Xenopus tropicalis: one gene and its partners. The protein of the gene in region 1 interacts with the protein of each later gene in a pairwise test. Links are inferred from orthologs where the notes say so. Each region holds a gene or a part of one and is shown on either strand. Other genes may lie near its edges.

Region 1 (3,255 bases):
CTATCCCTTGCTGGCTTCTAGCAACAGTACAGGCTTTCAAAGGTGCTAGGGTAGATTGTGGCCATTGAACCTATGGATAACAAAGCAAGAGCAAAATAAAAATAATACATTCACGCCATAATATGTCCATTATAAAAATACAAAGGAAATATAAACCTTACATTTGAAAGGTTAAAGATTAACAGTAAAACATGCAATATTGTGTAGGAAAAAAAAAATCAATGGGTTCAACAGAAATTCTACAAACGTCTAAATCAAGAAACCACTCCTACAAAACTGAAATAGTAAAATGATTTCTTATTCTTCATAAAATTAGTTTATAAAAGTTTATAAAAGTTATATATATAATATTATATATATATATTTAATCATCCTGATGACGATCCTATGAGGGTCGAAACGCGTTGATGCGATGATTAAATAAAGAAGAAATCTTTTTACTTTACATTCTGATGCCGTGAGTGCTTTCTACAAACCTGCTGTCTATTTTTTGGTCAGCACCCGGCGAGTGCCTCTGGAGCGGTGAGTGCCGATTTTACTTGGACTATATTTAATATTATATATATAAAATTATATAAAGAGTATCTATAGTTTAAAAAACAAAACAAAATGCAGCCTGCATTCATACAGTTGCATGTGTTTAGAAAGAATCATTTAGTTGCGCTCACAACAAACGTGATAGCCAAACTTCAGAAAGATGCCAGCAGTGCAGTGCGGCTTCCCGAATGGCACACGTGGCGCTGCTCAAACCCTTCCTAACAGGATCCATGATTTCAGAAAGGTACGACATGTACCTAGAAGCAAAATAATTTAACGTGTTGGTGTCGTACAACCAGATAGCGAACATTAGTACAAAAAATAAAGTCATTATTAGTAAAATACAAAGAACTGTCCATTTATCTTGAAGCATTCGGGATTTTTTGGGTGTTTCGAAGCACAGATTTATTGTTGGAGTTGGCACCAGATTGATTTCACCAAGTCTAGCTTTCGCCCATTCATTATTTAGAAACTGCCTGACTCGAGGGTAGATTGCAACTGGGTGGACAGTGACAAGTTCCTGCTTCTTTAGAGCTTTCATCCTTTTGCGTATGTTGTGAAGGCTTTCCAGGAACAGCAGAGGGGACGGCTCTTCCTGAACGGAGCTGCTCAGAGAGATGAGATCTAACTCTTCATCTTGAATCTGCTTCATCTCCTCTATCTTTGGAGCATACACCTCGACAATCTGTCGATTGAGATCACTGAGAGCAGCCAGCATATCTTGCTTCTTCTGCTCCAATGTCTCATTCAACCGCTCGAAACAACTTACCACCTCCTTTTTATCATCCAAAACAATCTGTTTACAATAATTCATTTGTTCTTCTAACTTCTCAATGACGAAGGAGACGCCGATGAAGTGTTTGTCAGTCAGAATGTGGAGATATTTCGAGGCAGTCAGCCGCTCTTTTAAGTAGGCACTTTCTGGATCATCGATTGCATGCCCTTGGTGTTGCCCTACGGTAAGGCACTGGCCACAGATTAATTTTCTATCTCTAAGACAAAATAGGTTTAAGGGCTGTTTGTTGTGTTCGGGGCAGGTGGCTGCTTTGAAGTGGTTTTCACTTTTGTACTTTTCAACAATGGATTTCAATGCAAAGTTTATGGGTAGGGCCAGAGTTCCCGACATTGTTAGTTCTGAAGTGTTTCGGCACGATGGGCATTTAAGCCAGGCAGCAGATGTCCTCCACAGACCACTGCCTGAGGAATGTATAACTTTCTCAAGACAATTCCTGCAAAACGTGTGTGAACATGGAAGGATTCGCGGGTCATCAAAAATATTATAGCAGACTGAGCAGGTGAGTTCATCTTCAAAGTTATCCATTGCCTGTGAAGAAAGTTTGTATTATTAAATTACACTGTGTACATTGCAAATAATTCTACCAATTAAAATTGTATTCTGAGCTTGAGTCTGAGCTTTCAGAAGGAGCCAGCGCTACACATTAGAACTGCTTTCAGCTAACCTATTGTTTCTCCTACTCCCATGTAACTTGAGCCGGGCTTGGATTTCTTACTATTGAGTGCTATTCTCATACCTACAACTAGGTGGGGCATGGGAGCATTTTTAGCAATACAGGTGTCAGGTGCTATCTTGCTACTTTTCTATTGTTCGGCTGATCGGCTGCTGTTGGGGTGGGGGGTGATATTACTCCAACTTGCAGCTCGGCAGTAAAGTGTGACTGAAGTTTATCAGCGCATGGTTGGGTGACATGGTTGGGGGCACCGGGAAAACTAAGAATATGTCTAGCCCCTTGTCAAATTCCAAAATTAAATATATTAAACCTGTCTGCTCTTTTGAAAAATGGATTTCAGCGCAAGATTCTGCTGGAGCAGCATGGATGCATGTTTTCCCAGAATCACTTTAAGATGCACTATTTCCACTTATATTCCCATAAATATGTAGCTACATTTGAAGATAAAACAGACAAAATGTATTTATTTTAATACTTATCACCTCAAGAAATGAAACAATATGAGCACCAGGTTACTGAAAGATCGTGGTCATTAATCCTAAATTTAAAGGCACTCTTATATGTGAAGGGCTCCGGTTCAGCACAGAATGTGATGTTATGTAAAGGACTGTAATTGTCCATAACACATGGATGTGCTTCCGGTTCTGTAAGTTAAACAGATAACCTAAGGCAGGGGTCTCAAACTCGCGGCCCGCGGGCCATTTGCGGCCCTCAGTACAATATTTTGTGGCCCGCACCAACGCCTTCGCAAAAGCAATGAATGGATCGCGATTTTTATTGCGATTCAAGGGATAATGCAAGGCACGGCGGGCGGGAGCTGCTGATTGCGGAAATGACGTTATGCCATCATAACAGTTATTATGGGAAGACGTTCTGTGTGCACAATTAGCTCCTTAGTTAGCAGCTAATTGTGCACACAGAACGTCTTCCCATAATAACTGTTATGATGGCATAACGTCATTTCCGCAATCAGCAGCTCCCGCCCGCCGTGCCTTGCATTATCCGATAATGCAAGCCTTCATGGACTTTTTTTTGTGAAATCCCTTATGCGGCCCAGCCTCATCCTGACTTTGCCTCCTGCGGCCCCCAGGTAAATTGAGTTTGAGCCCCCTGACCTAAGGGGACCTGTCACCCGGACATCAAAAACTGTATAATAAAAGTCCTTTAAAAATACAATATGAAACACAAATTAGTTTTTTTTATTAACACATCCAAACATCCCTGCTGTCAATCATATGATGCCATAGAG
Region 2 (4,175 bases), on another chromosome or scaffold:
AGAATTAAGAGGGGTTCCCAAACTTTTTCATATGACTGTATATACGGTGTATTGTGGGTCAGTCCTTAAGCTTAGTAACTGACAGCAGGACAGAACATGTCCAGTGAATCAGGTATAAAGAAGATAGAGGGCTGCTGGGGCATCTTCAGAGACACGGATCTTCCCTGCTAAAGGGCTGGGGTTGCCTTGGGCTGGTACAGAAGCCCAAAACATAACGTGCAACATTTCTAGCCTAATTATTTAGTTAAGCTTTAGTTCTGCTTTAAAGTCTGAAAATCAATGGCTTATTATGTATGAAAAACACATACTCACCTGTTTGATCCCCATCAATTCTGCATAGTCAAAGATGAGTAGAACACTGAATATAAGGAGCCACGATACTGTGTGCAAGAGAGCACAGAGTAAAGCAAGCCATGCACTCCATGGACCAGCAGAAACATTCCAAAGGTATGGACCCTGTGGACAGGGCTGCCAGAATCTCATCAGCACCTGGAAGAAAAATTATGTAGGTACAAGAGCCTACACTGGTGTAATAAACTAAAATCCCTTGCTAAATTGAAGGCCACGAAAATCTGAAAATTGTGTGCATACATGGTAGCAGCAATAAGAACTTTTGGTCCAAAATAGACCCAAATACTTAGGGGCATATTTATCAAAACGTAAGTTTGCAGCTTTATACATAAAAACCAATGTTCTACTCATTCCTGTGGGTATTTATCAAATGGTGAGTTCTAACTTTCACCCACTGATAAATAAGCTTCTAAAAATCCCATATGAATGCATAGAACATGGGTGGGTTTTTATGTATTAAGTTATAAACTCACATTTTGAAAAATCTGCCCCTTAGCCTGCTAGAGGAGCAAGGTTATTAACAAAGTAATAAGGATTGGTGTTTGGGGTTAAAAAGGTCTCCATGGAAGTCATGCAGCTTATTATATGAAGTAGAAGCAAAGATGAGGCACTGTTTGATATTAATATTATGTCTAATATATGCAATCATAAAGATAAAATGAAAGGGTAAGCTCTCCTTTAACAAAAAATTCAGTAGTGCCTAAAAAACTTTCAGACTTGCATGGACATAAAGATTTGAAAAAGCAATAAAGTATAAATAGGTACATTTTAAAAAGAAAAATTGTACATATAAAGTCTCACTACTGTTGAGTTCTATTACACTTTATATATGGGCTTGCATAAAGCAACATATAGTAAGTTTCATCAAGAGTCATAATTCTTCTGTGGAAGGGCCCTCAGAACGTAATCACCACTGGGTAGATATGAATAATAAAAAATCTATTTAAAGTGCTTTTTAAATGTGTCATCTACAATATAAATAGAGTGGCCAATTCATCTGAACATCAGCTGGTAGGATACCATTGAGGATGATCAGGGTATGATCACCTTTAGTACTTAGATAGGTATAGTCTCTATTTTGGGGTTTGTTCACAACTGTGTGGCAAACATTTGAAACAACCTGAGTGCTGCTGACTGAAAAATATAAATTTCAGGAAAAGCCTTGTTTTAACTAGATCTTTTGGATGTCACCGTTATTTGGAGTAAAACCAATTATTGCCTGCTGCTATGCCATTAATCTCCACAGTAACATGAAGACGTTTTACCTGGAGAGACAGGGCAGTGCATAGGATATATATTGAACGCTGGAGAACACCAAACACATGCAGCACATTTTCCTTCACTGCTGTCCAGGCCATTATGCTGTGTTGGAGTACAAATAAAACAAGAAGACCAATATCAATCCCAATACAGTATTGAAACTGGGTGTTTCTCATTGCTTCGCTCCATGTTATTGGTGTTTCACCTAAAAACAAAACAAAATGCATAAGTTGATTTAGGGTGTTTAGCCCATCCAATTACTTTAAATCCAGAATTCTCAAAAATGCCCTCTGTTATGCCCTGCATTAAGAATTGCCTAAAAGTACTAACACCAGTGCTTCTTGCACTAAACTATTTTCAGGCAAAAATCACCTTACAAGCAGTGGTGCAATCTTCTTTTTAACCCAAGTAACTTTCTATAGGAGCACCAAGCCGCAATTGTACCTGACCTACCCAGAAGTTCCTTGTTTATTTACACTTGCCAATGTAGAGTAAATTAAAGGTGGACATTTTCACTATACTGCACAAATCTAAGTCTATGAAAATCAAGTAAAAGACAATGTGGCAATGCTACAGAAGGTTTTTCTGAAAAGGAGAGCAATTTAGTAATTTAATTCACCTAACATATTGGCACCCTTAGTGAATTAATGTTTCCTTTTTTTTTTTTTTTAAAGGAATTCATGTGAAAAATCTTTGGGCCTTGGCATAATAAACAGATAATATTGCCTGACCATATTTACGCACATTTGTCTGTGTTTGGAGCAGCACACAGCTGAGCTGTAGCCAAATCATTATCACATTCCCTTTCCCAGTGAAACAGTCACTGTAACTACTATCCCTTTCGTACAATTCGCATTTTAAACTGTGAGATCTCATCCCTGGTTTATTCAAACTCCCTTATCGTGTTTTGTAGCAAGTTCCCGCCACTTTTTCATAGTTTATAACCCGGCTATGCTCACCATCTAGGCCCCCACTGATATTCCTGAAAATAGCGCCGAATGAAAGAAACCGCACGAACTCGGCCCCTGTCCCAAATCCAGCCACAAAACACAACAAAGAGGCCGACGATAAAACAATGCAAGACAGAACCGAGGGCCCAGAGGACACCTGTCCAGATACTTGAAGATTCGCCGACATTTTCAAGCAACCAGCGCCTCGTAATTGCCCCGCCCAGATGCACTTGGGCTACCCCATACTAATTCGCCACGCCTGTTTGCGTCACCAGGTTCTTTTCTGTATTATACAAGTCGCTGCTACCCCTGTTAGGCTAGTACATTTTTTCAGCATATTTGCTGGTGTGGAAGGGAGGCTGTGAAATCTGTAAACGTCAGTGGAAAAAGTATATTAACAAACAAATAAAAAGGAATTAGTGTTTGGCTTTTGTGCTTAAATATACTCAGTGGAATTTTTGAACCAAGCAGCCCGGCTAGCTCAGTCGGTAGAGCATGAGACTCTTAATCTCAGGGTCGTGGGTTCGAGCCCCACGTTGGGCGAATTGTATTTTTTTTTTGTAAATTTGTTTCTTTAACCCTTTCACTGGAACTTCTACTACCAGACAGTCTTTGAACATTTTGCACTTTAGGGGCCTTTCTTCTGGGGGACTTTTAGTTTATCCAGGAAAACAATATATCGTTTTTTTCTGGACAAACTAAGCTTTCAAAATTTGGTAGAATTTTGGTGTAATTCCAATTTTGTAACAAGATATAGGCTTCTAAATGTCTACAAAATTTTAAAAAATCACATACCAGAAACAAAAATTATTTTATGCACAAAAATACAACTGATTTGGAAAGTCCCATGTCTCCTGAACGCACCAATACCAAATATATATAGTTTTATGGAGATTTCTCACTTGTATAGGTCAAAAACTCCCAGCAGTACACTACCAAATTTCCAAAGCACTGCTCCAGAAAGCTGCATACTTTAGATTTCAAGGCCAAAAATTCCACTAACAGAAGGTTTATCCCAGAAAATTACACATTTCTGTAAAGAACAGATTCTGGGGTATACAGAGTAGGCACAACTGTCTGTCTACTCCAAACTATCAAGTCACAATGCTTTCCTAAATTTGTAGGTTTTTATCAAAATTTGTGAAGTTTTGAAAAAATCGCTTCAAAGCTTCCAGTCTATAGTATCTTATCTCCTAAAGGTCATGAAGTAACCAAATAAAACACCCTAAATATGAATGCCAGGGGTCCACTGAATAGTTTGATGCCAAATATGTATAGGTTTACTTAAGTATGTGGCATGTAGGGGCCCCAATGTGAACATACCCCCATATGATCTATCACTTCTGTCATTCCAGCTCCTGCAAAATCAACACATTTACATCATTATAAGTGGAATAAAACTAGTATGAAGTATGCTCATCCCAGAAAGCCATATATTTTTGGAAAGTACACATTCCCCTGAATTTAAAATGGGTACCCATGTCTTTCTACTTCAAAGTACCAAGCCACAAAGCATTTCTAAAGTTAGCAATTTTGATGACATTTCCAAAAATCCACTCAAAGCTTCCAGTTTGCAGCATCTTATCCCCCACATAACATTAGGTACCAAGATAA
Region 3 (4,149 bases), on another chromosome or scaffold:
AGAGCTTTAACATTAATGTACAGACCAACTGACTCCATTATATTTATTGCTATATATCCCAACAAACTGTTCATGTAGTAAAATTCTGTTCTTTATGTGAACTTTTAAATATGTAAGCATTAGAAATGTAATATGTGAGGGGAAATATCTGGGGGGAAAATTGTCTATATTGCATTAATGCCAGGTAAATCTGTATGACGGAGCATGTCTGGATTAATATGAATTTTGGGTACAGGTATTGAAGTGGTAGTTTGTTTATCCTTGTGCTTTTGTGATAACCAGTACAAAAGAATATAGTATTCTATTAATTACATAGTTATCACTTGATAATCATGACCATTGCAATTAATGGCTACTTGTTTAAACCCCAAATATGTTTTGTTCACTGGCTAAATATGTATAAAAAACTAACCTGAGAAAAATCGAGTAATAGAGAGAGGCAGCAGCCTTAGGAAGGTCATAGGATCGTATAAGGAGAGAGAGATGCTTTCTGAAATATATCCCACTCCAACCACCATAGCATGAAAACAACTGCAGGAAGCATGCAGGCAAAACAGAACAAAGCTACGAAGATTGCTGCGTCCTATACATGTTCCTGTGAAAAAGCAGTGATGTTCCTGTTCGCCCATCACCCGGGCACAAAGATGGCAAAATGGTTTTCCTGATAGCTCAGTTTCTGCATACATTGCATTGCCATGAGGACTCTTCCAGATTGTCAGTATATAATTTCCCAACACATTGACAAGTAAAACAACAAAGAGGGAATTGTGAATAAAACCAGAGAAAGACAAGGTAGATGAAGTTTCCCCACTTATGCCAGGAAGTAGTAAGAAGAACTGAATGGATAAAGTAACTGATAGCAGGCAGAGGAAATAGAGTGGAGCCAGAAGATTCAGCAGTTTAAGAAGAACCATCCTGATGAAATTTTGTATCTAAGCATTGTTGGTATTCTGCATATTTAAAAACTGAAACTAAGTCTGTTGCACGGTAGCATAATTCATCGCTGTTCCTGAAAGAAGAGAAGGTACAGGTACTGATTTCGTTCTGTGTTTGCTGCACCACAATACTATAATGAAACTAGTCAGGAAAGGCACTCATAGGTACTAACAGTGAGACACTTGACACCAAAAAAAGTATATGCAAACTGAACATCTCGGTTTCCATGCCTGGTTCAAAAGAAAGGAATTAGTTATAATGTGATAATTCACAATATAATTACATTATACCCTATATAAAGTATGGCTTAATGGTTTCTTTTAATCTATATATTTTAATTACTTGCTATAGAAGGTATTATATATTCTCATTCTTACTAGTATGTACTTCATCGGTTTCACACATACAGAAGGGTGTAATAAGTATTACAGTGCAAATTTACCTATTATGCCTGATTTCAATTTTCTTATGACTTTATGGTGCAGTTGTGTAAGATTACTGCTTGCGTTTGCATATTACCAGAAATACACAAAGTTTTCTACAACTCCCTTTTTCAGCTTTTGCTCTTTCCAACAACTGTACCCTCGTAATGTTATATATAATTCCTTGTGCACTTGTTGATCTTTTATGCTGAACCTTATACTCACATCTCTGACCCTCATTGTTTCTACACCAGCTTATCTTCCCCAGTAAAGAAATGATCATCTGGTTTAGAAGTAATGAGGTATATATATATATCTCAATGTGCAAAGAGATTAGCTGGTAATGAGGGATGATGTTTTGTGGCAGATGATATGATCTAGAGTACAGGTGGTACCAATGTGCAAAGAGATTAGCTGGTAATGAAGGATGATGTTTTGTGGCAGATGATATGATCTAGAGTACAGGTGGATCCACCTGTACTCTAGATCATATCATCTGCCACGAAACATCATCCTTCATTACCAGCTAATCTCTTTGCACATTACTCATCTTTCCCTATACACCAGCTATTCTCTCCTTCTCACCTTATACTCTGCACACCAGCTGATCTTGCCTTACCTCATTACTTCTAAACCAGATGATCTTTTCTTCATTCCCAGCTAAACAACTGGCCCCTTTCTACTGCCACACCTCACTCAGTCTGTTCCAGTTGACCCTTTCCCTGCATATTTCTTTATATGGATTTCGACTAATACCTTACTGCATCTTTTCTGTTTTTTTAAGATTCTAATTTCCTCTTTCCTGCTACTCATCCTTTCAAAATAAGTTATTTTCCTGCAGTACTTTCTATACCATCTTTGTAGTGGCCATCTGTCACTTTGCCTCATCTCTGTCCACAATACATAACTTCTTGTATACTGCCTGTACTGTCCCTCATTTTTTTTTTACTTTAAAAGCCCCATCCACTATTATAACAGCTTCCTAATTCACTTTATGTGCAGCCTTTTCTTCTCCATTGTACATAGTTTTTTTGCCCAGTGCCTATTAACTGTATTTTTAACCCTCTTTGTTGATTTAAATATGAGCGATCCAAAGACATTGTAGCACATTGCCTTTCCTTAGCTTACCACCTAATACATATACTCACCCTTGTTAGTGACGAATCCAAGGATACAGAGCTCAGATCAACAGCCAGTGGCTGTGATGGGTTCAGTGTGTGCACTTCTCTCTCTCTCTCCCTCTCTCTGTGCTTCTGTCTTTCTAGAGATGCTGCGGATTAACCTTCACATCCCCTTCATGCCTCTGTCATAGCCACACAGCTCTGATACTTCTCTTGGTACTTGCTTGTGCTTTGCTGGATATCTTTATGAATGACTTTTCTCACTGGGTGATGATGATATGTTTGATGCAGTGGTTGCTTCCTGTGGTTGTTAAATGTTAGCTAAGGTATTTCCCTACCCCCTCCCTCCTCTTTTCTCTCTCTCTCTCTCTTTCTCTTTCTCTTTCTCTCTCTCTCTCTCTCTCTCTCTCTCTTTCTCTCTCTCTGTATCTATCTATCTATATATCTATCTGATCTATATTTTCTGAATGTAATGTTGAAGATTTTAGGGGGTGGATGCGTATGAGTTATATCTTAAAAATCTCTAGTATAACATGTTTCTGTTTAATGTTTGCTGTGTATATTGTTAAAGGGTTTTTTAATACTTTATGTGTTTGCAGTGAGTTATTTATTTGCCTTGAAACTCAGGTTTATTCAGGTTTTACATGCTTTTTAATCCTAAACCTATATAAACAAACATGAATACAGAACAAATGTATGCAATCAATGTCTTGAGAAAGAAATTAATGCAGTGAATATGAGATGAACTACTCAAGAGACTTATCAGATAGACATATCTGTCCCATAAAATATTGCCATGCAATTAAATACTACAGGGATGCTATGACATCTGATATTCCATGCTGTTATCAGATCAGATAAGATCAGATGCAGCTAATAATATTTTATTTTTATGCATTTACATCCAACAGTAAGTGAATTTCAGTTAGAAACAAAAGTGTATCCATCTATATCTTATTTCTAAATATGTACACTACACCCGTCCCATGACTTGTGGGGCGTGATCTATTAAAACAGGGACATACAGTGCAACAAAAGCTTCTGTGTAATTCAGCCTTTAGGGTAATGACAAATGTGGATATTTGTTGTCTGTGGTAAATCTAGGCTACCACTGGCGACAAATCTGAAAATAATAAAAAGAATACCTAATTTCTTTGTGATTTGAAAGCAGAGTTAAAAAGCAGTAATTCAATCGATAAAGGGATTTGGGTCCTAAAACATGTTGTGCATAAAGGGCCAGATTCAATTTGATAAGAAAAACCTATCTCCTAATTCAATTCCAGATTTCCATGATCTGGTGACTATTTATCAGATCAGTAAAATCTGATATTCAGCTGTGTTTAAGAGAATCATTTGCATGCAGTAAGTGAAAGCATTTTAAGAATTCATAACCAGGCCCGGATTTGTGGCGAGGTCACAAAGGCCTGGGCCTAGGGCGGCAACAATTTAGGGGCGGTATGCCGCCCCGCCGCACCAAAATTCTGAAATTTGCTGGCATACGGAGCAATGGGGACCTCTCCCCACTTCTCCGTATGTGAGTATAAATAGACGCGGATGCACCCTGCCAGCGGCGGGGAGGGGGGTGGGTCGCGAATGTGCATAACTTTTAGTATGATGTTGACAAGTAAATTCTCAGGCAGTTTGCTGGTGGTTATTTTGTCTTCATTTAT

Evidence for each region.
Region 2: the proteins of trim59 (region 1) and nrm interact in binary tests that used the Homo sapiens proteins (3 or more experiments, as listed by UniProt). The two-hybrid records come from large-scale screens. The link is inferred for Xenopus tropicalis from reciprocal best matches to the Homo sapiens genes TRIM59 and NRM.
Region 3: the proteins of trim59 (region 1) and zdhhc22 interact in binary tests that used the Homo sapiens proteins (3 or more experiments, as listed by UniProt). The link is inferred for Xenopus tropicalis from reciprocal best matches to the Homo sapiens genes TRIM59 and ZDHHC22.

The regions. Positions count from the first base shown.
Region 1 is NC_030681.2:114,755,549-114,758,803, reverse strand, and holds the end of trim59 (tripartite motif-containing protein 59), read right to left. Parts: intron 1,862-3,255; 5' UTR 1,859-1,861; coding exon 665-1,858; 3' UTR 540-664; downstream 1-539. UniProt on the Homo sapiens protein: E3 ubiquitin ligase involved in different processes such as development and immune response. Serves as a negative regulator for innate immune signaling pathways by suppressing RLR-induced activation of IRF3/7 and NF-kappa-B via interaction with adapter ECSIT.
Region 2 is NC_030684.2:75,536,961-75,541,135, forward strand, and holds the start of nrm (nurim), read right to left. Parts: upstream 2,806-4,175; 5' UTR 2,749-2,805; coding exon 2,571-2,748; intron 1,817-2,570; coding exon 1,617-1,816; intron 490-1,616; coding exon 313-489; intron 1-312.
Region 3 is NC_030684.2:82,642,912-82,647,060, forward strand, and holds the start of zdhhc22 (palmitoyltransferase ZDHHC22), read right to left. Parts: upstream 2,806-4,149; 5' UTR 2,507-2,805; intron 1,010-2,506; 5' UTR 915-1,009; coding exon 413-914; intron 1-412. UniProt on the Homo sapiens protein: Palmitoyltransferase that could catalyze the addition of palmitate onto various protein substrates and be involved in a variety of cellular processes. Catalyzes the palmitoylation of KCNMA1, regulating localization of KCNMA1 to the plasma membrane.